2 linked regions of the Lepisosteus oculatus genome follow. Each later gene encodes a partner of the first gene's protein in a complex. Links are inferred from orthologs where the notes say so. Each region holds a gene or a part of one and is shown in the gene's direction. Other genes may lie near its edges.

What was found.
Region 2: the proteins of dbf4 (region 1) and cdc7 are in contact, whole or in part, in a crystal structure (PDB 6YA8), measured with the Homo sapiens proteins. The link is inferred for Lepisosteus oculatus from reciprocal best matches to the Homo sapiens genes DBF4 and CDC7. Residues at the interface, in NP_006707.1 of Homo sapiens: Thr210, Arg211, Thr212, Gly213, Arg214, Leu215, Lys217, Pro218, Phe219, Val220, Lys221, Val222, Glu223, Asp224, Met225, Ser226, Gln227, Leu228, Tyr229, Arg230, Pro231, Phe232, Tyr233, Leu234, Leu236, Met239, Pro240, Ile242, Asn243, Tyr244; in NP_001127891.1 of Homo sapiens: Asn56, Val57, Phe58, Ala77, Gln78, Leu79, Gln80, Ile87, Ile93, Pro94, Thr95, Ser96, His97, Pro98, Ile99, Arg100, Ile101, Ala102, Leu105, Gln106, Thr109, Lys121, Tyr122, Cys123, Phe124, Arg125, Asn127, Asp128, Val130, Leu143.

The regions. Positions count from the first base shown.
Region 1 is NC_090705.1:6,471,085-6,483,359, forward strand, and holds the start of dbf4 (protein DBF4 homolog A), read left to right. Parts: upstream 1-6,497; 5' UTR 6,498-6,605; intron 6,606-7,060; 5' UTR 7,061-7,111; coding exon 7,112-7,157; intron 7,158-7,825; coding exon 7,826-8,004; intron 8,005-8,782; coding exon 8,783-8,974; intron 8,975-9,065; coding exon 9,066-9,116; intron 9,117-9,481; coding exon 9,482-9,551; intron 9,552-10,013; coding exon 10,014-10,096; intron 10,097-10,300; coding exon 10,301-10,346; intron 10,347-10,870; coding exon 10,871-10,916; intron 10,917-12,013; coding exon 12,014-12,145; intron 12,146-12,275. Other genes in the region: mitochondrial glutathione transporter SLC25A40, read right to left, coding at 611-691, 1,154-1,235, 1,873-1,982, 2,550-2,723, 3,282-3,406, 4,240-4,307, 4,960-5,066, 5,145-5,204 and 1 more. UniProt on the Homo sapiens protein: Regulatory subunit for CDC7 which activates its kinase activity thereby playing a central role in DNA replication and cell proliferation. Required for progression of S phase.
Region 2 is NC_090704.1:1,471,690-1,484,271, forward strand, and holds the start of cdc7 (cell division cycle 7-related protein kinase), read left to right. Parts: upstream 1-7,552; 5' UTR 7,553-7,715; intron 7,716-8,415; 5' UTR 8,416-8,432; coding exon 8,433-8,490; intron 8,491-9,398; coding exon 9,399-9,485; intron 9,486-9,655; coding exon 9,656-9,791; intron 9,792-11,837; coding exon 11,838-11,931; intron 11,932-12,023; coding exon 12,024-12,166; intron 12,167-12,582. Other genes in the region: probable ATP-dependent DNA helicase HFM1, read left to right, coding at 1-55, 386-510, 953-1,035, 1,471-1,580, 2,754-2,855, 3,115-3,357, 4,560-4,620, 4,805-4,913 and 2 more. UniProt on the Homo sapiens protein: Kinase involved in initiation of DNA replication. Phosphorylates critical substrates that regulate the G1/S phase transition and initiation of DNA replication, such as MCM proteins and CLASPIN.

The DNA.
Region 1 (12,275 bases):
ATAATACAACAGTATTAACTGGGTTTTCTTCATAAATTCAAGTTCAAATTCAGAAGTTCAGCTAGGATTATCACTGTGCACATATTCTGTTTTTGCTCGGCCTTCAGATTGTTTGGCATCAGTAATAGTTTGCCATCTAGTGGTGGCTGTGAGGTGTTGCATGAAATCTGCTGATGGGAGAAACTAAAGACAGATCTAAATAGCTATTTTATTACAATAGTTCAGGTGGGTAGCCGCATCTGCATGCATAGGCTGTGAAGGAACAAGTAATAGGTTTATTACATGCTGAAAAGAGAAGAAAGAAAACAACGTTTCAGCCGTGGAGCCTTCTTCAGGTGTCAACACAACTGAACCACACCTGAAGAAGGCTCCACGGCCGAAACGTCGTGTTTCCTTCTTCTCTTTTCAGCAGGGAGTAAACCTATTACTTGTTATTTTATTACAATGCTTTGAGAAAGTGTAAGAGATTAAATGTGATGATTTTAATGGCTGCACCTTTTTTTTTTGTAGAAGAGCCCAGCTGAAGACATGTTTACGACATTACAGTTGACATAAATCTAACACAAAGATTAAAGCCGAGAAATAACGCAGAACACTAAATCAGGGGTACCTGCGAATAATCCTCTAACACCATTTTCAGCCACAATCCTTCTCATCACGTGCATGGTGGAGGACGAGGCCCGAGGAGATACTAGAACATAGAGATGCAGTCTGTGAGAAAAGGTCACTCATCACTTTGTCAGAATCAAAAATTCCTCTGCACATTTAATAGCATGCCACTACTGGGTGGAGCGGTGGCTCTGTGGCTAAGGATCTGCGCCTGTTACTGGAAGGTTGCCAGTTCAAATCCCGCGGCCGGCAGAGGAATCCTACTCCATTGGGCCCCTGAGCAAGGCCCTTAACCCTAACTGCTCCAGGGGCGCCATACAATGGCAGACCCTGAGCTCTGACCCCAAGCTTCTCTCCCTGTCTGTGTGTCTGTGTCTCCATGGAGAAAAGCTGGGGTATGCGAAAAGACGAATTCCTAATGCAAGAAATTGTATAGGGCTAATAAAGAAACATCATTATTATTATACATTATGTTTTACTACACTGAGAAAAACAAGATTAAGGAACGATACAGAAACAAATCTGTTTATCGCTTAATACTTACAGTTCAAAGCTTCAAGCTCCCCAAGTTCAATTTGTCTCCGTGTCTTTACCACATCGAACGGTAAAGTTATTATTGAAGCAATCTGGAGAAGCGAGGAAAAAAAACAAACTTTAAAGGCTTTTATTATATTGTAACTGGCCATTCTGGTTACTGCAAACCAGTATTTATCTAAAATTTGAGATTTGTTTCATAGACACGACCACAAGACTGCACACATCAACGAGTTACATCCAAGAGTGCTGCGGAGTAATGAGAGCTCAATTTGTCTCTTTCGCCAATCAGCTTGGAGGGATTGTGCTTTCAGCCCTTTACACCAATAAATAACCCAGGTTAAAAAAAAAAATTGAATCACATATTGTCTGCACACAGCCACTTATGCAATGCAGGTAACAGGAAAAACTGGCTCTGACAAATGTAATTTAACTTTTCACATCAAATAATTTTATTTGCTTGTCTCATGCTGAAAAAAAAAACATTGTCCAGTAGATGAAATTGTGGTTAAGTCATTTCTATTGCAGAGAAGTGTTGTCCTTCAAGAATTAGACTGGTTCAACATTAATTTGGGGTGGAAAAAATCATGCAGTGGTTTTCCTTATTAGAGCTACGCATCTGAGATTCTGCATAAACATCTTTCACACCCCAGACACCAATATAAGCTAATATATGACTGACTGGTTTATCAAACTAAGGAAATTCAAAGCAATGAGCTGTCTACTTACAGACCCAGACACTGCTCCTGAGGTGAAAGTGATCATGAATGTTGGTTCTCTGGCATCATTCTTCTCACAGAGCCACTTCTTTCCAAGCTCATAGTTATACCAGTACATTGCTGTGTGGACAGTAAAAACACAGCTAAATGCACTCACAGCCACGACTTGTGGAAATAAACATATTCGTGCAATAACAGCCCCAAACCAAAGATTTCAGTCACTTTTAGATTAAAAATATATCAGCTTCCATAAAGATAACATCTTTTACATTATCCCCTCGTATCCCCTCGCTTATCTGTAAAGTGGTAAGCTGGTGGAGATTTGCCTCCACACTAATAGGAAAACAGGCCCATGCACACAAAACAAACAAACATTTTTATCTTCGTCAGACCATCCCATCGACTTTCATTTTCTGTCTAGAACTCCTCTGAAATTAAATGATTGAAGTTTACGAACCAACTAAAACAACTCAAAAACTCAGAAAAATAAAATGTTACAAGTATAAGAAATCACACCCATATGTTTTCACACCCATTCAATGTGTGGAACCAATGTACCATCCACTAACATCCCCGATGAAATGAGAAATGGGAGAGCAGCTATGGGGCCCCGATTCCTGGAGTCAGCTGTACTGTAGGTGTTTATTCTCCTGGAGGTGTTATAAGACAGCCTGTTTGCTGACCTACCTGAGAAAGGCACATCTCTGAGTAGAGTGGGGCCCAAGCCCCTCCACAGAGACAGCCAGCCATCAGCTGCCACGGATGTCCGGATAAAGGTGTTCAGCTCCCGATACGACAGCTTCTGGGACTGCATCTTTGTCCGTATTAGCTCCAGCGGACTGATCACAGTGACAGACCCCACTAACAAAAAAAAAAGACATTTCGCTCAATAACTCACCATTTTACTATAAATCAGCAAGAACTGGGTTAAAAACATCCAATCAGATTTAAACACTCCTAATCATAAAGCCACCCATCTCTGGAAGAGTCCCTAGTCTGCTATATGTAAAAAAAAGCATTTTAACAGTGCACTCATTAATCCAAGAGAGGAAAAGGAAGCTCAGTGAATGCTGTCTTATACTCCTAGTAGTCAGAGACATCTCTTGCCAACACAATCACAATTCTCTAGTTCTATTTTTAGATTAATATCTGGTCTTCGGCTTTGTTGGTGTCTTTCACAAAAGAGAATTTAAGCCGATCTGCTTCTAATCTTAGGAAAGGGGGAAGAAATTCAGTATGGGGACAGAAATGGAAGGAAAAAAATGTTTTCTTATGTTAAAGATTCAATTTATTTTAAAAGAGTCATTTATTTTTAATTGGTAACATTAATACTTTTATACCCCTTTGATTAAATCACCTGTTAACCACCTTAAAGAAGATCTAAAGGTACTGATGCTGCTTTTTAATGAAACACCTCACCTCTAGCCAAAGCCCCTGCCAGCAGTGGTGCTTCATTAGAATCGCTGCCCATCCTGTACTTCAGAATAGCACAGAGCTGGTCATAGCAAGTGAAATATATAACAGTAGCAGGTACAGCCATAACTCTGGAAAAAAAAAATTGCATTTGGACAATGACAAAAAAACACCAGAGGGCACTAACTGGCCCAGACACACAAGCCTTAATAAATGCAAATTGATGTTATGGTGTGCCAATACAGCGCCCTCTGGTGTGAATGGGAATATGCTCAGGTTTTTATTAGAAACTTCACTGATCACGTGACAAAAAATTGCAGTGCAACAACAGCTTAACACAGTCAACACAGCACAGTGTAACGAATGATACAATAATAATACAATACATACAATCCAATCAGCACAGTCAGTGAGAAGTGCACTAAGAAGAGTTACTCACAGTCCAGAACATACAAAGAACAAATCAGAACAGTATACAAAAGTTGAATTGCACAATATAAATATAAATATAAATTGCACAAGTCCCTGGCATATATTGTTATGTCAATGTTGCCTCTGCCCAGATGCAAAATGTATGCGTTGTACAGTCTTATGGCAGAAGACAAGAATGACCTTTAAATTAATTTTACATTTCAGTACTCCACCATCTTTATTTTGCGAAACAATTGCATGAAGAAGTCAACTAGCATTAGATGCATTTTGCACATGTACATATATACTGAGAGGCATTAAAAACAAACTTTAGATTTTCCTGAGGTTTTTTTAAATTTTCCTGACTATATGTAAGGTACTGAATAGTCTCACTCCACAATACAGTACATTAAGGGTGTATCAAATCCGTATAATGTAACACTAACGTATGAGATATTCTAATGTATAGCACAAGTTTTTTTTATTAGCCATTATAAATACAAAATACACCAACTATCTGTGTATGCATACACTTGTACTGTTTCAAACTTACAGCGTTGGAGGAAGCCCACTCCATAATGACTTTATTCCTTCTTTTTGAATGATTTTAATAAATGCATCCTAAAATAAAATAAAAAATCACGTCAAAACATGACAGTTTTATAATAGAAAGTACACAGAACACTGAACAGCCTTAAGAAACACTTTCATTTTGAGCCAAATGTTTTGGATTTTGTTCCATCTTAGCTCTCCGTAACTTAGCTTAGGCTATAACATTGGCCATTTATTTACTTGTAACCATTCAATTATTGGAACAATTAAGGTTTATTCCATGCTGAAAAGAGAAGAAAAGAAACACAACCTTTTCGGCACCCGAAGAAGGCTCCACAGCCGAAACGTTATGTTTCTTTTCTTCTCTTTTCAGCATGGAATAAACCTTTACTTGTTCCTTTGCAGCCTACGCATGCTGACGCAGCCACCTACTTGAACTACTATCATTTAATTATTAGTTGGCTCAATTAAGACCATTCTCGACAGTTCTGAATCAGTTGGTTAATTTACACTGAAGTGCAGATACTAAGAAAAGAGACTACCTCCTATTGATTTAGAAGAAGACTAAAGGTATAGAAAGCATTAAGGGAGTTACAGGTAATGAAAACAGAAGCAGTGCTAAGCACAACAGTGTGAATTCTCATTAAGACGATGGGGATTTCGCTCGATAAGTGTAACACCTTACACAAACACGACGGGAAGCAAGACACATTCAGATTACCAAAGTGCCTGTGAAATGTCCAGGGGCCTTGTACCAGGCTTTGGAGTTCCCATTTTCACACACACAAATGTGGTCCATAAGGCCATTGCAATACAGAAAACATTTTCCTAGGAAAGGAACAAAATAGAATTAGAATTACCTTTCAAAATATAATGAATTTTGTTTTTAAAAGCTAACAAATTTACCTTTCCAAAAGGGACTTCTTTGTGCCTGAAGCCTAATTTTCACCACATCCAGGGGTGTAACTAGAATGAAAAATGAAATAAATAAGAGTTAGAAAGACTCAGAAGGAATTCAAACTAAGCTTTACAGCTTGCTGTACTTAGTTCGGCAGCTGTCTGTTGATGTCAAGTTTTACAATAAGTACTTAATGTGTAAGACAGGATTTAATACATATATCACATTCTGTATTTTCTGATGTCAAAAATGTTTCTAATGTTTTTTGGCTATCCACATTAACCAAGCTAATGTTTGGCACAGTCTGTTTTTTCTGGCTTAGCTGTAATAAACCCACATTGGTTCGAGCATTTTCATGCCAGACTCCTACAAAACAATAATTAGGAAGTCTATTACTCATTTTCTCTTAGCACATAATGAAAGAGTTTCTTACCAAACAGTGAAGTAAGCAGCGCTCCTGAGGAGGAAGCTATCATTTGCTGGACAGGTGTGATGTCATTGAGCACAGACACTGTTCCCTGGCCACTCATCTTGTCCTTAATCAGGAATACAACGGCAATCCTCAAAAGACAAACAAACTGCGAGCTGGCATACACCTGTACTGCTTTTTCCTTCAGACGTGAAATTCAATGTCACTCTGTTCTGAATGTGCATATTTGACATTCTCTAAATCCACTGTTGTTAATTGAATAAAACAAGCATTGTTTTTCCCCTTAAACGAGTTCAACTCCATTAAGTTTTTTAAACTATTTGAAAAACACCCTGGAAAAATTTGATGTTTCTGAGTGCAATACGTACAACCTACCTTGCTAACTCTTCAAAGGCAAGAAAATAAAACTGATACTGTCAAACTGTACAGCTGTGCTCTTTTCCTGGCTGTTTTCTTCACATCAGTTAAATGTCGAGATCGACACTGTACCACATCTGAATTATTCATCGTTAGCATAAAGGCAACGAAACCATTAATTAAATTAGATTAAAGACACTTAGGTAAACTAACTGTTAGGGTTTCAATACAACATGTCTCATCAGGATTCTCTCCAAGGCTCTGACCTATGTGTTACATATGCTGTTCTCACAGCACACATGCTTGGATCACATGACCTATGCCGATGAGTCTATTCTCACATTGGCCACAGCACATTCAACAACACGGACATTTAAATTATGCCTTACTTTTCGAACCTTGAAGAAATGAACGACAAAAATAACACTTTTTACGTATCACAATTCTTACAAAATTAAAAATAATACAATTATTTTATATTTAACTTGTCAGAAGTTCTCTTATGTAATCGCAATGAACAGAAAACATAAATTGCATTTTAAAAAGTGAGACGGAAACTCTGGAATCCAAAATGAAGATAGTTTGAAAGAGAGGTTTCTGGGATACTAACTAGTCGAAGCGGGAAAGAAGAAAGTTGTGTTAAGGAAAATTTGAATTGTTTCATTCTTTAGCATTCATAACGGTAAGTATTTTGTTCGGGTGGGCAAGATTAATCATTATGAATCTGATTTCGATATAATTCGTGGCTATTAAGAGTTAGTATGCGGTTCGTTCTCAGCAGGCTTATCACGGTTGTTTGCTCTCATACAGTAGCAGTCTACTTCCAAGTTAAATGTCGGTAGTTTTTTTTAAAAAAAGCAGACGTGTTTCTGTACGTTCGTAACGACTACGCATTTTATGCAATGTGCAATTTTAAACTGATCTACTGTTCTAAAATATGTGTAGTTTTTAAAAGCACATTAACACAGTAGTTTGATTAATTTTTTAAACAACATGTTTTTGCAGGGTGTTTTTCATGTTTTTCGATGAGCTATGTTGCTTTACTTCTGGATCATAATTTGCTTTATAAAATCCTCACGACTCGTGTTGAAACAATGCGTGCATTATTAGATGTCTTTTCTATGTTTCTTTCAACAGAAGCCATTATAGAAGGTGTCCCTACTCCCCCAAATGTAATATATACTGAAAATGAAAAATAGGGTTACCTCCCAGGATGTTAATGTCAAGTTGCAAGGTATTTTAGTTTCTTAAACATACCATGGAGAAAAATGTCATTGAATATTGAGATTTTTGTGCAGATCACCAGAAAGTATTCTGTTTAACTTGTTTGCCTTAACCAAAACACACTGTTTGATATTGCATCAATACTTTGGCCAAGTTATTGTAGAAAATATATGAAGAAATATACATAAGTAGACATGACACATAGAGTAACAAGTTTAAGTATTTGTTTTTAGTGTAGAGTCAAATTGAAGCCTAATGCTCACCCAGAGCTATTCTTTCGAAAGGATGTAGCTGCATGGTAACTTGAATCTGTTACTGTCCTAGGTTGGATTTGATTAAATTAGAAAAACACATTCTCCAAAATGTATTATAAGTCTGTTAAAGCATGATGAAATATATGATCCCCACAAATTCAAAGTGCAAATGGAGAAATGTGAAAAGTATTCTTATGTATGGGAAAATATTTTCTAACGTTTCCCAATCTGGCATGTTTGAAACTTTGCAAGCGTATTAAACAGGTCATTACATTTCATTCACCTACTTTTCTTACCCTCTGACATGCTGTTATTCTGCTACTATTGGGAAATGTGGGTGTAATCTTTAAAATTGCTCTCCTATGTTTTTGTTTGAGCAAGAGCAACCTGAAAAACCCCTGATATCGTGTCCATTCTTTAACAGACTCAAAATCGATTGACAAAACAGAGCAGAACAAGGTGACATTAAAAAGTGTGCTGCAAACAGCAAATGGGTCTTCAGGACTGAAAACCAAACCTCTGGCTGGAAAACTATTTTATCTAGATCTGCCATTCAGTAAGACCACTGAGGCCTTGGAGAAAGACATTCAAAAGCTTGGTGGGGTAAGATATTTTTAAGTACAAATATGAATATTTTTGCATTTTACTGTTTGTATTTTGTGTATCCACGTGTGTATAAATATGGAATATTAAGCATTATTCAGATTTAACAATGGATCTAAGCTGTTATTGTTCTACCACTTTCAAAGTTATTACTTTTGTGACTGAACAAACCTAAACCTTTAGGACCACAGTTATTATAACTTTGGAAGTATTTGTCTTGAAAACTGAAGAAGTTAATTAGAAATGATAACGGCACAAGCATGTTTGCATATGTGGAGGCTGTTTGTTGTTTTTTGAAAGATGCAAAGGTTTTGGTTTAGTAACCAAGTCTGACAAGATAGATTTTTCCAGACTGTCACAACACTTTATATATAAAAATGTTGTGACAGTCTGGTTTTAAATGTACTTCCCCTTACTTACCACTTGTATTTTCCTATTCGCACTGTTGATTCTGCCAGTGGCCGTAGGATCTATGTTATCTGTGAGGGTTTTGAATGAAGAGTGAGATTTCTGTTTTCGAGGCTAAAACTATTTATTTTTGCCTGGCATTTCTTTGAACCTGATATGTGTCTGAATGGATTTCTTGCCACATTATCATAATTCCCTAATGGTTCTCTCACTTCAGTTTTCCTCTATCCTGGTTGCTTAGAAAGACTTGATTCCCTCTAGCAGTTATAACAAACTGAGTAAGGAAGCAGACATGAAATTGGGCTTTAAAGTGGTAATGCTGCTCTTATTAAGTCTACATTACATGTATAACAGATTTATTTCATTTTAGACCATTGAGAGGTTCTTCAGCAAGGACATTCGATATCTTGTTTCCAATAAGAAAGAGGCAAAATTTGTGAAATCAGTTGGAAGAAATTCTCCTTTATCAAGCCCTGGCTCTCCCAATACCACTGGGAACAGCTCGCCTTGCCTCAGCAGCCGAAGAGGAAGCTGTAAAGTAAGCTCGCAGGATGCTGCAGACGTGAGTTTGTTATGAACTTTTCCTAACATTTTTTTTCATTCCTCTTAGCATTTCTGTGATTGTATAGTTACAATGCCCTTTTTGTGTGCAGGCAATAAAAAGCAGAGGGAAATCACTGGTGGAAAAAGTTGTCAAGGAACAGGTAAATATTCTGTCAAGTGTCTCCATCTACTGTAAGCAGGATTTTATATAGAATGTTGATATGTTCTGGGAGAGTGTTTCTACATTTCAGAACATTTGCTGCTGAAAATGTTGAAATAATTTTCATTTTATATATTTTACATGGTACATATCATATGAGGGTGATCAGTGCCATATAAGTTTTGTGCTAAAAAAAGTATGAAAACATTCTTTTAATGTAACTAAGTAGTATGTTTTATTTGGATGTAAGACTTATTTGGGAATGTTCCTTATTAACTAGTTTTTCTTATAAACTTTGAAGAATTTAAAATAGAATTCCAAGCAAATAGTATTTTTCTTGCAATTAAACCGTTTTCATTTTTCCAGGAACTAATTCAGACCAACAGAATCTTGTCAAATGCTTTGGACTGGGGCGTCAAGATACTGTATATTGATGGTATCCTTTAAAAGTGCTATATATTGGTTGTTTTTTTTATTGCATATTCAAAAGTACAATTCTACTTTTGTGTTTGTTGCATGTCCTAGAGGGCCACAATCCAGCCAACAAAGCTTTGTGGGTCACCATTAAGAAATTAGTTTCAAAAGATTTATTACATACATTATTGAACAATTATGTTATTATGTTTCATTTCATATGAGCTTTAAAGTACTTAATTTAACTAATCATCTGCTTTAGTTTCTACAATATTTAGGAAATTATAAATGATTGAAATGTAATCTGTAATCTTTAATCTTTAGTTTTGTTTCAGTTGGCCACCATTACATCTAAATAAATGCTTACAGTGTTAAGTGGCCATCACTAAGTGCTTTGTGAGGTTTGGTTTCTGTTTTTCAAATGTGTAGTAGGAAAGATAAATGCTAATATGAGCCTACTATTACTCCTTGACTGCAATATCAGATATATTGTCTTATATTGAAAAAAAGAAGAAGGATCTACCTACTGACCAACCTAATTTACACACTTCAAAGGCAAAAAAGACAGTAAGTGTCTCTTCTTCCTGTGAAACATTTGGTTTTTATAACATTGTAGATTAAAGGGGTTGGTGAATGTCATTGTTTCATTGTAGATTACTTAAGTAAACTTAATAATAAAAAAGAACAGAACTTCAAATGAAAATTAATAAACTGGATTGAAGGCAGGAGAATGTGTTTAAGCATTAATTCCTTTTCTCTCATTTTTAAAAGGTCAGCAACGCTACAAATGCCAAAACCTCCGTTAAAAAAAATGAAGGTAAATTCAGTATCATTTCTGAACTACAGATTCTTGATAATTTTAGCAACTTGACTAACCTAGGTTTTAGTCTTAAACCCCCATTTTTCAGTTTAAGTTACTTTTGTAATACTGATCTAAAAGAAAAATAAGTAATGAACACATCATCTCCTAATTTTAAAATGTCATCTTAAAAATGATCGATATGGATAAGCTGAAAATTATTTACTTAAAGGTAAATAGATTAGACTGCTTAATATCGCAGAAACAATAACAAAAGCATGATGGCAATTTCTGATGTATTTGTTGCTTAAATATTTTTAGATTACTTTGACTGTTAAAGTTTGATATTTAAAGGATTAAAAGGCTATTCTAATTTACTTGTAAATTGCAGGGTGTTAGGTGTACATGTAGTATAATGTACAGCTTTCCCTTTCAATGCAAGACAGCTCTCATTTTACATGGTCTCTTATAATGTATATTTTGATTTTTCTTGTTAGTGTAATGCTTTTGTTTTAGTTCAGCTTGTGATATTTTTCTTTCAGTTGGGAATCTCAAAAAACCTTTTCTAAAAGTGGAAGATCAAAGCCGGTAAGAAAAAAATTGCTTTGATTTCAGTGTTCGAATATTCCTTAGTTATGTTAAAATTGCAGGCCATACCAAATGTTAGAAATTAAGGTAGAGATACATGGATTAGTGGAATTATATAAAAAATTAATTGAATTCAATATTGCTGATATGTGGTAGTTATAAAAAATTAAGTGTCAAGAGTATTATTATTGCTTTTACTCGAGTGTGTGCTGCCCTCTAGAAGTATTGAGACAAAATTTATTTTGCTTTACAGTCGGGTAATCTGTACTATATATGTGATCGTGAGATTATTGTGAATAAGTACAATATAATATTGGTTTTATTTTTTGGTTATTTCATTGCATTTGGTACTATTTGTGGTTAATTAATTGCATAGATTAGATAATGTGATCACAGGGTTGAACACCACTTTGTTGTAATACATATATGGAGAATCGCAGAGTTAAAATCTAGAAGTTTTACTTGGTCAATTAAATATTTTTTTCCCTAATAAAATCCTTAGTTGCTGCTTAGGATTCATCTTTAGGATTGCTGCTTAGTTGTGTCGGCTGTACGTTTTGACTCATTTCTTTTACATGATCAGAAAAATGTTTCTACAGTGCAGTCCATAAGTTTTTGGACAGTGACACCATTTTTGCTGTTTTGGCTCTGTACTCCAGCACATTGGAATAAAACAATGACTATGAGGTTAAGGTGCAGAATGTCACCTTTAATTCGAGGGGATTTACGTCTATATTGGGAAAACCATATAGGAATCACAGCCCTTTTTATACATAGTCCCCCTCATTTCATGATTGGACAATTACACAAAACAACAAAAAGTGTGTCACTGTCCAAATACTTACGGACTGCACTGTATGTATATAAACTGCAGAATTAATGTTATTTCTGCCTTCATTAATTACATAGTGCTTAAAGAGCAGTGTCCTAGTACATCATTCCAAAATCCAACACTGACCGTGGACAGAAGTCTCCAAGTGTAAATAAGTTTATCATTTTAATTTAGGGATCAGTGTGACTTATATGACCATGAGTGACTTGTATTGTTTAACAAATATTTTTGTATTAAGTATTGTATTAAATATCTTTGTATTCAGACACTACAAACCAATCTACCTGTCACTACCAAACCTGCCAGAGCTCAACTTTTGCCTTCCTGCCCCTTGTTGTCCTTTTGAATCAGAGAAGACCAACAAAGACAGAGACGTGAAGAAACAAAGGGAACATGGGTGTGTATCCATTACTTTCTTTAGTCATTTTTTTGCACACTTGTAGGTAATAGTGAAGCAGTATAATACGGAGCACTGCAGAACAGCATAAAAGCAATAAATTAATTAAATCATAAGTATATAAGAGATG
Region 2 (12,582 bases), on another chromosome or scaffold:
ATAAGACAATGCAACCATTACTGTAAAAACAAGGAGCAGTGTGGACATGACTGCTGTAGGTATTATTCTTATTTAAATGACGTGTGTGTACATATAGTAGGCTACAAATAGATTTGATATCTGCCAAAGGAGAAACCTTAAGTCCTTAAAAGTATATATAAATAAATAACCTCATGAACATGTAATCTTTTCTGGTTTTGAAGTTTATTTTATGAGGGTCTTTTCTCTGTGATAAGTCTGATATAGTCTTTCTGTTGTGAGTTTTGGGGAGTATTCAGTGTTTTACTGAATTATTCAATTTAGAACTGATATGGTTACTAAATAGTAAAAGTTTAAATGAGCAGTGACAAGAGATTAGTGTTCATGATTAATTCTGTATTCTTAGGCAAGGTTGGTGTGGTGGTGGTACAGCGAAGTGTTAAGAATCCAGAATCCATTTTTTCTTCATACCTTAGTGATCTTAAAAGCAGGACCGAATCACTAGCAGAAACACCTGTCAAACGTTTGAAGGTAAAGTTAACAGAAAGTAACACAGCAGAGCCTTTATGACCACAGGGATCATAAGGCCCAGTCAGCAATGTAGCTGTACAACATCTGTAGCTCATTTAAAGGATATATGTTCAGCTATCTTCATCGGACTGGATGTGTTGTTGGTGCCACTATCATAAAGTTTAATGGTTTTAGTTTAAGGGTAAATGTAACCCTTACATTCTAAATCAAACAGTGACTTATTTGGCAAAGACATTAGACAGTCCCAGAGTAGCTAACAGTGCTGTAGCACTTAATATTTTGCCATCTTCAAATCAAAGTATGACGTTTCTCTGCAGAATTAATTCCATTGATGGGAAACCTCTTTCTTGCTTTACTGTCATGTAAAACACATAGCACATCATAATCCTGACGGCTTTGTCCATTTTTTCTTATTATCCTTCACAATGTTATTCTGCATTAGATGAAAATGTCTAATGACACTGGAGCTGTAGACCTTCACCGGTTCTCATATAAACAGAATGATGGAATGCCGACTGGTTCAAGGTACAGTATCTGCCTGCATTTAACACTGTTGATTTCATGCTAGAACTATACATACAATACAATCAAAGTTGTTTCATGTGATTTGGGATGAGCTACAACTCATACAGCATCACAAAGTCTTCTGACACACATCTCTGTAAACATTATTTGAAGCAGCAGACATGACTTTAGAAACACTGCTTTTGCTGCTGTTTCTAAAAAGTGGTCAATTCAAATTCAATGCAAGCTTTATTGTCCCATTTGGGGAAATGTATTAACAATGCATTTACTGCACTCATGTAGATTTATATTGAAACATTACTGCTCAACATACTACTCAAGGTTTTATTTTTTTTAAATAATCCTTTAGATTTTATTTAAATACAGCAGCATCAAATAAAAACAAGTTTAAAGATTACTTCTCCAAGTGAACATGCTGTGCTTATACTCTAACAGAAGGTGTGAGAGGAACCAAGCTTTTATGCCAACAAAGGTGGAGGCTCTGGAATCTTTTGATAGTTTCACAACATCGCAACAAAGGGGAGAGCAGCAGTGCTGTGAAAGAGGTATGTACTGCATAAGGAGTGTAACTCTATACACTAAGCTTTGCAATTGAAGCTGCATAGCAATCAATTTCACCCAGTTTACTAAACAATCATATTAAAGCTGCCATAGCAGAATGTGCTCTTGTGTTTACTATCAGCATTTGCAGAAATATTGGAAGCTTGATGGCTAATGTTTCATCCAGATTCTTATTATTATAGACTACTATAATTTTTTTTCCTGCCCGAGTTGCTTTAATATGCTAAATGTGTAGCATGTAAGAAATATTTGCGGTGTATTGTCCATTATTAGTTTTAAAATTCCTGATTATACTATTAGAAGTGTAAAGTTAGAATGATAAATGGCGTGATTGAACACCTGAAAAAATTATCATATTTCTGAAGAATACAGATTACAAATGTGTTCTTCAATTGTCAATCCGTGTGCACAAAAGTATTGTTATAAACTGAGCATCACAAGAAACATCACTTTCTGATAAAAGATATCATACAGTATAAATGACAGAATCTTTTCTGCTGTAGGCACACATACATTTTATTTACTATCTATAAGTAAATGCTAGAAGTGGATAAGATTTGACATCAACAGGATTGATCATGAGGGTACCTGCTGTGACAGTACCATATGGGGCTGTGTCACAATCTCTTGTGCTCTTCAGAGTCTAAAGAAAGCAGGCACAGCAGGTGAGCAAAAGTACATGGATTCTGTCCAGCATTCAACATACAGAAGGCCCAGAGGTGTTGTGTTCTATTCACCAGGCTAGACACTCATCAGGTTGATTGACCTCATCATCTGTGTTCAGTCATCTCTGATGAGGCGATTCAGTGATTCAATGCTACAAAGTCATTTTTATGTATCACAGCTAGTGATCAAGAATCCATTAATCAAAATGATGCCAGTGTCCAATATTCATATACAGTACATTCATATACACTACCTTTTTTCTATAGTGTATATGAATAGTGACATGTTACTCATGATGCTCAGAATATAATGAAATAATATGAATTATTAATGTCTGTGTTGCCAGTTTAGGAGTTTAAGTTCATAAAGCTTTCTGTACATTTCTTATTTTATGTACTGACATTCCTCATGAAAATATTGATCTGCAGTGTCTAGACTGCTGTAGAGCAATGAGATTAATGATTTTGCAATGACTTCTTGCACTGAATCAGACTATGACACGGGATGTTACACTGCCAACACTCACAGCTGGATCGTCCCAGAGCCAGATGAGGAACTTCTCAGTCAAAATACTGAGGAAGCGAAAAACGCAAGTAAATACTTAAAAAGCAAACTGTTCAGTGCTATAAACTAAAAAGAAAATATATAGGTGTTTATTATTGCTGTCAAAACACTAATTGCTCCTATTACTCATTAAATTAATGTCAATCTGTGTGTTAGGAAAAAACACCAAGAATGTGTATCAGTGGTCAAAATTGTGTTGTATTATTGTACAACTCATTCTGATTACTGTTATATGTGCACTATACGTAATTCAATTATCAAAACAGTGCAGCTTTTTTCAAATTTCAGATTTTTCGGTGTGGAAGCAGTCTGATACTGGAAGTAAAGTCAACACTCCACAAAACAACACAGGTTACTCTGAGAATCAGAGGGTAAGAGACGCAGATGAAAGTGGATGCTTCTCAGAAGCTATGCGTGTGACATTCGATCTTGGAGTGGATGACTGGAGTGATATTGACGATGAGAATCTGGTACAAGTCAGTGAGCTTTCTGATGCACAGATACCACGGCCAGGATTGAAGAAAGCAACAGGTATACATTTTAACAAGAATTTTCCTGCTCTGTGATGTCAGTTTTAATACTGTACTGCTTTTAAAGTACAGTAATATTAAATAATAATTCCTTGCATTTATATAGATCAGATTACATAGAAGTGAGAAATTGTTTTACTTATGGAATTAAGTGGGAAATATAGGTATTTAAAACTATACAAGCCAGAAGAATTTGTCACAAATACCGGTGTATTTCATCTATTCTTATGAACATTGATTAGGACCTTGGCAGACCAAATAAAGACCAAATGCTCATCCTAAGCTGTATCAGTGACCTAGATTCTGCTATAGTTGGTAAACCTGTCAAGTTTTCAAATGATACCAAAAATAGGAGGTTTCGAAAAACCATAGATGCAGCAGATGACATTCGAAAAGATTTAGATTCAATTTGAGATTGATTGAACAAGCACCGGGCAGATGATGTTTAACACAGACAGTTGGAGGGTGTTGCATGCAGGTAGTAAAACATTAATTATAAAGACAAGAGCTCCTCAGGGATAGTGATGAAAATATCCTAGCAGTTATGTTAACACGTTGTTTACACATTCCAGACAACTCAAGGAAGCAATGAAAAAGGGAAAAATAACTTTTAGGCTGAATGGTTAAAAGCACAGAATGTAAATCAAGGGATGTGATGTTAATATTGTACAATGCACTAGTAAGATCACATTCAGCATACTGTGTACAGTTTTTCTATTTGGCTTGTTGATCTCTTGCTCTTCCAACTTGCCTGCCCTTGATCAAGGGCAGTGGCAAACTCAATCCAATGGGCTTCTTCATCAGTAGCAGTGAAACATGAACCGAGAACAAGAGACACTTCCTTATGCAAAGGGTAGCGAGGGTATGGAGCAAACCACCCAGCCCTGTAGATGAAGAAGGCTCTCTGGCTTCTTATAAGAAATGGCTGGATGAGATCCTCAGGGAATAGAACACAAGTCTAACATTCTACCACTGCCTAATGAGCTTGAGTTTTTCACAGTAAACTATTAAACCATATTATAGTTACGTTAACTGATTGTCCTGTTATAACTATACTTTATTGTTTTGCTTTTCCTTTGCAGTCATTCTGGTATTTATTGTCTTTACTGTCTATAGATTCCAGTGTATATCATGAAATCTGTTTTTCATACAAGTACCAACATTTCTGAGAAAAGCACTATTAAAGCTAATGTTTTATTACAGCGTTTTCAGCATCTTTGTACTCCAAGATAGGGCAGACTACATCATTCAAAGAATGTAAAGGGTAAGTAAATTCGATAAAAAGTAATTATACTACTTTCCTCATATGTTTACATTGTAAATATTTTAATAAGTATGTTAGATTGACACTACTTTTGCTATTATAATATTATAAAGCATCCTGTTATTTGCACACATTTTCAGTCGGAATATGCATGTATTTATTTCTTTATGTTGTATTTTTTTAGAACTACATATAATGACATTATACCGCAGGTGTCTAAGTGCACACCTGCACTTACCTGCACATCAGATGATCAGTCATCACAGTCCAGGAGCTTCTCAGATGCAAAACCTGTAAGTGCAGTAAAAGCTAAGCTTGCATATCTCTGCTTTCTTTAAATGTGTAGTATTCCCCATTTCATTTATGTAGCTCCTAGTCCTGAATTTAGATTAACAGAATTTCCATTCATTCTACAGTGCACAGCTGCAAAGTTTTCTGTAGCACAATGTAATGTCACAGAAAATGTATTAAATTATACAGGTATACAGGAGAAATCCTTATCAAAAGTTAACCAGATGTCAAAAACACCTTCCTCATCTCTTTGCTTTCAGCTCTTGACAGAAATAAAATAGGCAGTAAAAAGGCTGAGTGGTGAGATTGACAGATCTAATATTTTTACCATTGCAGACATATTTCTAGAAGATCTGCAGCTGAACTTCACTTAAGTCTTTTCCATGGGCACTATTACTGCTATACATGCATCTCAATATGATTAAATACCTCAGTGTTTCTTCCTCAGCGTCTTTACTTTAGAAGGTAGTGTGGGCAAGGATAATGCCACACTCCAAAGCAGTTTGGAAAATATCCAATCAGTATTATTTCAGACTGATAAACAAGCATTTGTCTCGAATCCTGCCTCATGACTGCTGAGTTATTTTTTTGGTTTCTCTTCAGAAGATTCATACTGAGCAGAGTGAGAACAGGATGGTGCTTTCATGCCCCAGACGGAATGTAACAAACTCATCAGCAGTTTTGGGAAAATTTGATTTTTTCTCCCATTTGCATGCTGCAAGCGCAGTATCAGAAGGCAGTGGCAGGTACAGTAAGTCACTCTGTGGGAGATCTTGCAGTATGTTAATACTCTGCACCTGTTATTACTGTTGATTTCTGAAACAGACTTTAATTGGAAATTCACATTTATGTGTGTATTCGGATAGCACTGCCTGAAACTCATAGCTTCTTTAATCTTGTGGTTAAATTTGCATTTAGGATTTGAGTTCACATTCAATTACTTCAGGATAATCACAATTACTGTGAAAGAAATACACTCAAACTTGTTACGCTTTTGAATGTAAATAATTACTCACAGAATAGTTAAATATGAACAGGTTATTTGGTCACTGAGAGAAAATCTGAACATAAAAATATTACAAACCTTACTGTCACATTGTGTTCCAGATTTGAGAGGGAAGACAGCGCCACAGAAGTTAGTGCTTTTCTTGGAATATTTGATGGAATATTTTAGTACTCCCCAAAAGTCTGTTCAGATGCTAGTAGAAATGTTGTAAGTTATTGTATTTCTTTGATTTGATTGTTTATAAATCTGATTTTAAATGTATTGTTAATTGTTAATAATTCAAATGAACACATTGAGATTTTGATTATTTTATCAAATATATGATGTGCTCTCTTGTTGAACTCTTGTGGTTTCTTCGTGTTTAATTTTAAGTTTATATACATTTTAGAGACAAATAGGGAGGCTGGTGAGGGCACACAGAGCCAATGACAGCAACAATCTTGAGAGTAATCTGTATGAACAGATGAGAGGAAACAGTGATGTCAACCATGCCCTGTAAGCACACCTTAGGGAGCCAGAATGGAGGATTATTCCCTTCCCCACAAGCGTTCAGTGTTCCTCTGAAGGTTTGTCACCTTCGGCTGAAGATAACATCTTTTCAAGTGGTGACCCATTGGTGACAATATTTCATAGCACCCTCGTCATGCACAGCTTAGTCACACCTTACAATGAACGAAAGTCATCATTCCCTTAGTTTCATAACTAGCAAGTTTATAACAGTGCTTTTAAGTGAGATATTTACCCTTTTTAAATTACACATTAAGGACAGTATTTGTGCTGAGCCAACCATATGCAAAAAAATGCATGTTGTTAATAAACAGAGTCATGTATGTTTTTAATGTGCAGGAAAGTGCAGACGCAAGTTCCTTTTCACATCAGGTTTGTCCTTATAGAGCAGCAGAGTCCTGTCTTGGTCCCAGCGGGCTGGTGTGTCTGTGGGTCTTCACTCCAGCTCAGCTCTTAATGAGCTGCACCTGCTGGTGACTGGGTGAACTGGTCCCATTTAACAACTGTCCCCAGGTCTGGAATGCTGCAGCATTGAAGAGACCTAGAAGACCAGCGGACACACTGTCCCTCCAGGACCAGGACTGGACACCCTGTCATGTATATCAGTGCCCAAAACCCTGCCTTCAGGAGCTACAGGTCTCTCGAACACATGGCATCAGGAAAGGCCAGCCTTTCCAGTCCATTACAAGCCTATGACCTCTATTACTGAACTAGTGCTTTATTATCACAGCTGCTGCAGATCATGTGATAATTAAGGATTATCCCGTCGCCCACTTATCCAGCCTCACATACTCACCTGGGAAAGCGCTAGCTAGAATCCAGTCGCTAGACACTTGGGATGCAACAAACAACAACGGCATCACATCAGACTGGAGGAACTGGATGGTGGGCTTCGTGCAGCAAACAGACGGGCAAGAGAAAGGGTCGATCATGCAGTTCGATTCAGTGTCTACGGGCATGACAAATTTACAGAAGTTTTGGTAGAATATATATATATATCTCATCAACAACAGCAGCCTTGTGTGTCTTTCATTTGCATTGCAAAGAGCTGTCCGTGCACAAGAGCAATGGTTCGGCGTGAGGCCGCTGCTCTGCGGGGGACGAGGGGTAGTGCGGTTGCATCGCGTGCCGACGCACGGCCCTGGAGCGAGCCGGAAGCTCTCGCTCTCGCGCTGCGCGGCCCCGCCCTCCCCCCTGACGTCACGTTTGCGCGGGTCGCTCGTCTGCGGGAGGAGGAAGAGAGACGCGGCCGGCCGGCAGCAGCGCCTGGGCTCTCCGCTCCCGTACTGAGGTAACGGGGACGCCTTTGAGCCTCTAGATGAGCGGGGTTAGCGGCGGATGTGCTGTCGGAAGTTTTTGTGCTGGGGTTCTTTAGTCAACACGACCCTGACAGACGCGCGGTTATATTCGCGTTGCTGTTTCTGCGGGTCGCCTCCCGGGGTTTGTTTACAGGGCAGTCCTGCCGGGGCTGATCGGAGATGAGTCGTGCGCTCCCCCCTCCTAACTTCATGTTGTAGCTCGTCCTGAAGTTTGCGGGGTGAGGCGACGTGGCGGCGGTGGCGTGAATCGGCTTTCCTGCGAGTTGCGTGTGCGCCCCGGCTATCCGGGCGCTGTTCCTGCTGTTCCCCCCGGGATGGCACTTGGACAATAAAAGTTCCCGCTGAGCGTTGTGCCACAAGCCGTGATGTTAAACAAGTGGCACACGTGCCCTCCCCCCCCGATGGTCTGCGGGCTCCCGGGGGTCGCACGCTGCAAGCTGTCTGGGGGGTTTATCGTCCTTGCAAGCGGACGGCCCGAAAACACCTCGGGTTTGTTCTCTTCTGCGATGCTCAGACGTGATCGTTTGACAGAGACAAAGAGAACAGTGCGTAAAAAGGAGAAAACCTCATCGGTCTTGACGTGTGTGTGTGTGTCTATGCGCGTTATTGGGTACGTATTTGAACCTGCCCCCCCCCCCCAAAAAAAAAAAGTGACTTTCTGTTGTTCGTCAGGTTTCTGTCTATTGGAGATGGAGTCGGCTCCTTTACAGATGAAGCCGGAGGGGCGCGTTGGAAACTACATCTCGCGTAAGTGGGAGAGAGCTGCTGCCTTCGAATAGACCCCAAAAATAAACTTGAAGTTTTTCCAGCCAGGCAACCTGTTGCTTCATTGAAGGATTTGTCTCCAGGTCCTCAGGACCGAGGTTGCAATACGTATGACACTTCCATTGTACAAGTAACGGATGGGTACTGTACGTGCAGCAGAGCAGGATGGGGTAGTGATGTTCAGCACCGTTTATTTGTCATGTGCTGAACAAGTGCAATGAAATGCTGATTTGCATGTGTGCTCTGATAGGGAGACTTAAACACAGAACAGCAGCAGCAGCAGCAACAAAGTTAAATAAGGTACAACTTAAATACAAGTCAGACAAGCAGCGTGAGAAGAGGAAATAAACATGAGTGTGAGCCAGTGGTAGCGGTAGAGTTCAGTCATCTGACAGCCTGCAGGACGAAACCGCCTCTGAATCTTGAGGTTCGTGCCTTTATGGTCCTGTAATCCCTACCAGAGGGCAGGGGGGCGTACAGTACAATGATATGACAGACGCAGCATGCTGGAAGCGTGGTGCAGGTGCTGTAAGGATTTGAGCAGTGTACTGACGGTGTGGATACCCAGAAAGCGTCCCGTGTGGCCAAGGTGAGTCTCGAGTCAGCGCTGAGCTGTTGTGGTTGTGGGGCGCTCCTCTCTGTACTGGCTGTGCAGGCATGGGGTGTCGTCTTCTGACTCCCATTCCCTCCAAAGCTGTGATTATTCTGATGTATTGATTTCTGAGGTCTGGGTGGCTTACTGGCACACGGGAAACCACACGTGCATTCAATTCTGAAGTAACCTCTTTGTTTTGTAACTCTGAAACCTTATAGTTGCCTTTATATATATATATTTGGTTTGGACAAAATATTGTTTGGTTTAAGTTGTTTTTTGTTTATTTTCTTTACAGGAGAAATCAAAACGGATATTGAAAGCTTGTATGAAGCCATACCCCAGCTCTCCAAAATCTTCGTCATATTGGATAAAATTGGTGAAGGTCTGAACTGCATTAAGCATTTTCTAATATAATGAACTTATTCTTTAGCTTAAGAAGCTGGAGCGCTGTAGCTGAGCAGCTGCAGTCTTGTGGTTTGGCAGCCAGAGCCAGTGTGTGGGGTCTGTGCACGCCGGATGTGTCATAGAAGTGTTTGTGTTTGGGATTAACAGGTACGTTCAGCTCGGTGTACCTGGCGGAGGCACGGTTGACGTCTGGCGCGAAAGAGAAGTTTGCTTTGAAGCACCTGATCCCGACCAGCCACCCGGTCCGGATTGCAGCAGAGCTGCAGTGCCTGACTGTGGCAGGGTGAGTCCTCTGCCCGTCGCCGCCACTGCTGACGCGGACCTGAGCAATAAAAACAAATCGGCCTATTCGCCTTTAAAAGCAGGCCTCTGTTTGACTGGAGGGCCAGGCGTTCCCCTTTCTGGTGATGTCGATATTTTTCCGGCAGTTCTGGTCGTGATTTATAAGTCTGGGGTCTTCCCATGCCTCTGTTGGAACGTGGCTTCTCAGCCTCTGGTCCTCCCGACCTGCACTGCTGCAGTCATGGGATGTGTGCCACTCTGGTCCTTTCTGTGTTGACGCTGCTAACTAAGAGAGAATGCAGGGCCTGGCGGCTGCAGAACCGCGAAGTGGACTGGATGGAAGGGCGTGCCCTTGAGCCGTCTCGTTGCAGGGAATCGTGCTACGCATCCGGTAGGGGAGCGCTGCTCCAGCCCTTCGGGGCCCGGGCGCGGCCGGTTTTCCAGATCCCTTTAAACGGGGTCGACAGATTGACGATGTTTGAAAAGTGTCAAATTGGTCTGTGCAACGCGCGCAAGGGGCCCAATCGGGTCGTTAAGAGCAGAGGTGGAAGGAATTGAATTCGAGGTGCGCAGGCAGCCGCAGCTGGCCGGCCGAGCCGGAGAGACTTGCCCCCAAGGTTACCATGGAAGGTGTGCAGTGTGTCCCCACAACTGCAGTGACTTTCCCAAATGACAAAGAATTCTCACATACAGGTGGCCTTCCGTGTGTTTTGTTTCCTCTTCGGTTGCTGTGCCTTAATTATGCTGATGAAAGCGGCACGTGTTTGCCCCTGCACATCGGGGTCAGAGTGTGCTTGCCAGCAGGAGTGAGGCCGTCCTGGCACGTTTGCCAGATGTTTTGGAGGCTGGTTTCTTCCCTAATGGACCTGAACACAGTGAACAGGTTTTCTTTAAGGAGGTTCGTAATTGCTGTGCGAGCGAGCATACAAAAGTAGCTCTGTAAAGCACCATCAATTTTGTTTCTTAAATTGTTTTGGGGGGTAGGCATCTTAAAAGGGCAGTTACTGCAAAATCGAGAGTTTTACGTTACTGCCCCATTGAATAATTTACTGCAAGTGAGATAAAAACAAGTTAAAGCATGTTGTTTTGAAGTGGCTTCCAAAGAAGAAACAGTTTTCATCTGCTCTGCTGTGTGTTGTTATTATAGATCTGGCTGGGGACGGCTTTTGAGCAGTGTTGATCAGTAATGGAAAGACCTTAGGCTATAAAACAGCAGTCTGATTAAGTTTCATACAGTTGAGACTTCAGATCATTTGGAAGTCTGCAATATATTTTGTTTCTTTTGATTAAAAGTTCCCACAAAACGAGGGGGGAAAACAGAAGAGCTTGTGACTTTTCCAGATGTCCCATGTGCTCATTATTTCAATAAACCCAGTTTTTGTCTCTCCTTTGCTCTTTAAAGGAATGGAGAATGGCCTTCCGCTGTTCTGCCCTAACTGTATTATTACTATGGAATATTAAATGCAGACGCATACTTAAACTGAACTGTTCTTAATCAGTGCATGGTACAGATCGTTAAGCTTTGCAGATATTTCCAGGAGTAAGTCATTAAAGGGTGTTAAGACTGCTTCATGTCATCCAGACTTGACGAGAGCATTCTCCAGTATTTTGCTGATACTCTTAAGCCATAGGCCTACATGTCACTGTGCAGCACGTGCATTTGCTGATTTTTAAGATGTGTTTTTTTGCTAACAACTGGCCCATGCCAGGGTTTTGATGTCAAATGAAACGCCCACAGCTTAATATTGATTAAGAGTTCAGTGCCTTTCTAGAGCATTTTTCTTTTTGATCTGACGCATGCAGTTTCTAAAGCCCCAGCAGGGATCATGCACCAGCCTGCATGAAGTCCGTCTGTGGTTTTGTTTCTTGCCGTACTTGAGCAGCTCCACATCTTCAGGTGGGGTTTGTAGGAAACCCAACAGCCTTGGCTGCACTGTGTGATCTCACTCATCCTTCTTGCACCATGAGCAGGAGGAGAAGCCGAAGTGTGAGTCTGTATGGCTGTTGGGAAGATGCTCACGGGGGTTTTTAAACCTTCTCATTCTAGCGGAAAAGAAAATGTCATTGGGGTGACGTACTGCTTTCGAAAGGACGACCACGTGGTTATCGTCATGCCTTACCTGCAGCATGAATCCTTCGTGGTAAGTCGCTCACCGGAATATCAACGGACCTTTTTTTTTGTTTCAGAAACCACTTTCATGAACGCACGCTTTTCTTCTCGTGCCTTTTGCAGGACATCGTGAGCTCGATGGGTTTTGGAGAGGTGCGGCGGTACATGTTTCACTTGCTCAAAGCCCTCCGGCACATCCACAGCTTCGGCATCATTCACCGTGACATCAAGCCCAGTAACTTCCTGTACAGCCGCCAGCAGCAGAAGTACGTGCCGTCTCCTCCCTGAGCCGCGCGGTAGCGGAACGCAGACTGTGCCCAAACCGAGCTAACTCTGCCCATCTCGTCCGCTCTGTCGGTCGTTTGTAACCCTGGGGTTGTGCAAAGTTCTCCTGTGGGAGTGTCAGGGAATAACAGGCAACACTGCAGGCAGCCGGCAGACAGCCCCCCTGTGCATCTCCTGCCTTGTCCACCTGGTGACCCATCCTGGTCACTCGCGCAGACTCAACTTCTGTGTGTGTGTGTGATAAGTGTGTTAAGTTCATCCTTGAGAGAATTATTATAGAGACTCAGTTTCAAACAGCGCTGCTAGTTTGCAGTTGACATGTAGCAAATGTTGAATTAATAACATCTGAAACGAGCACTATAAACTGAATGGCTCTAGTGGCCTTTGTATAAGTACA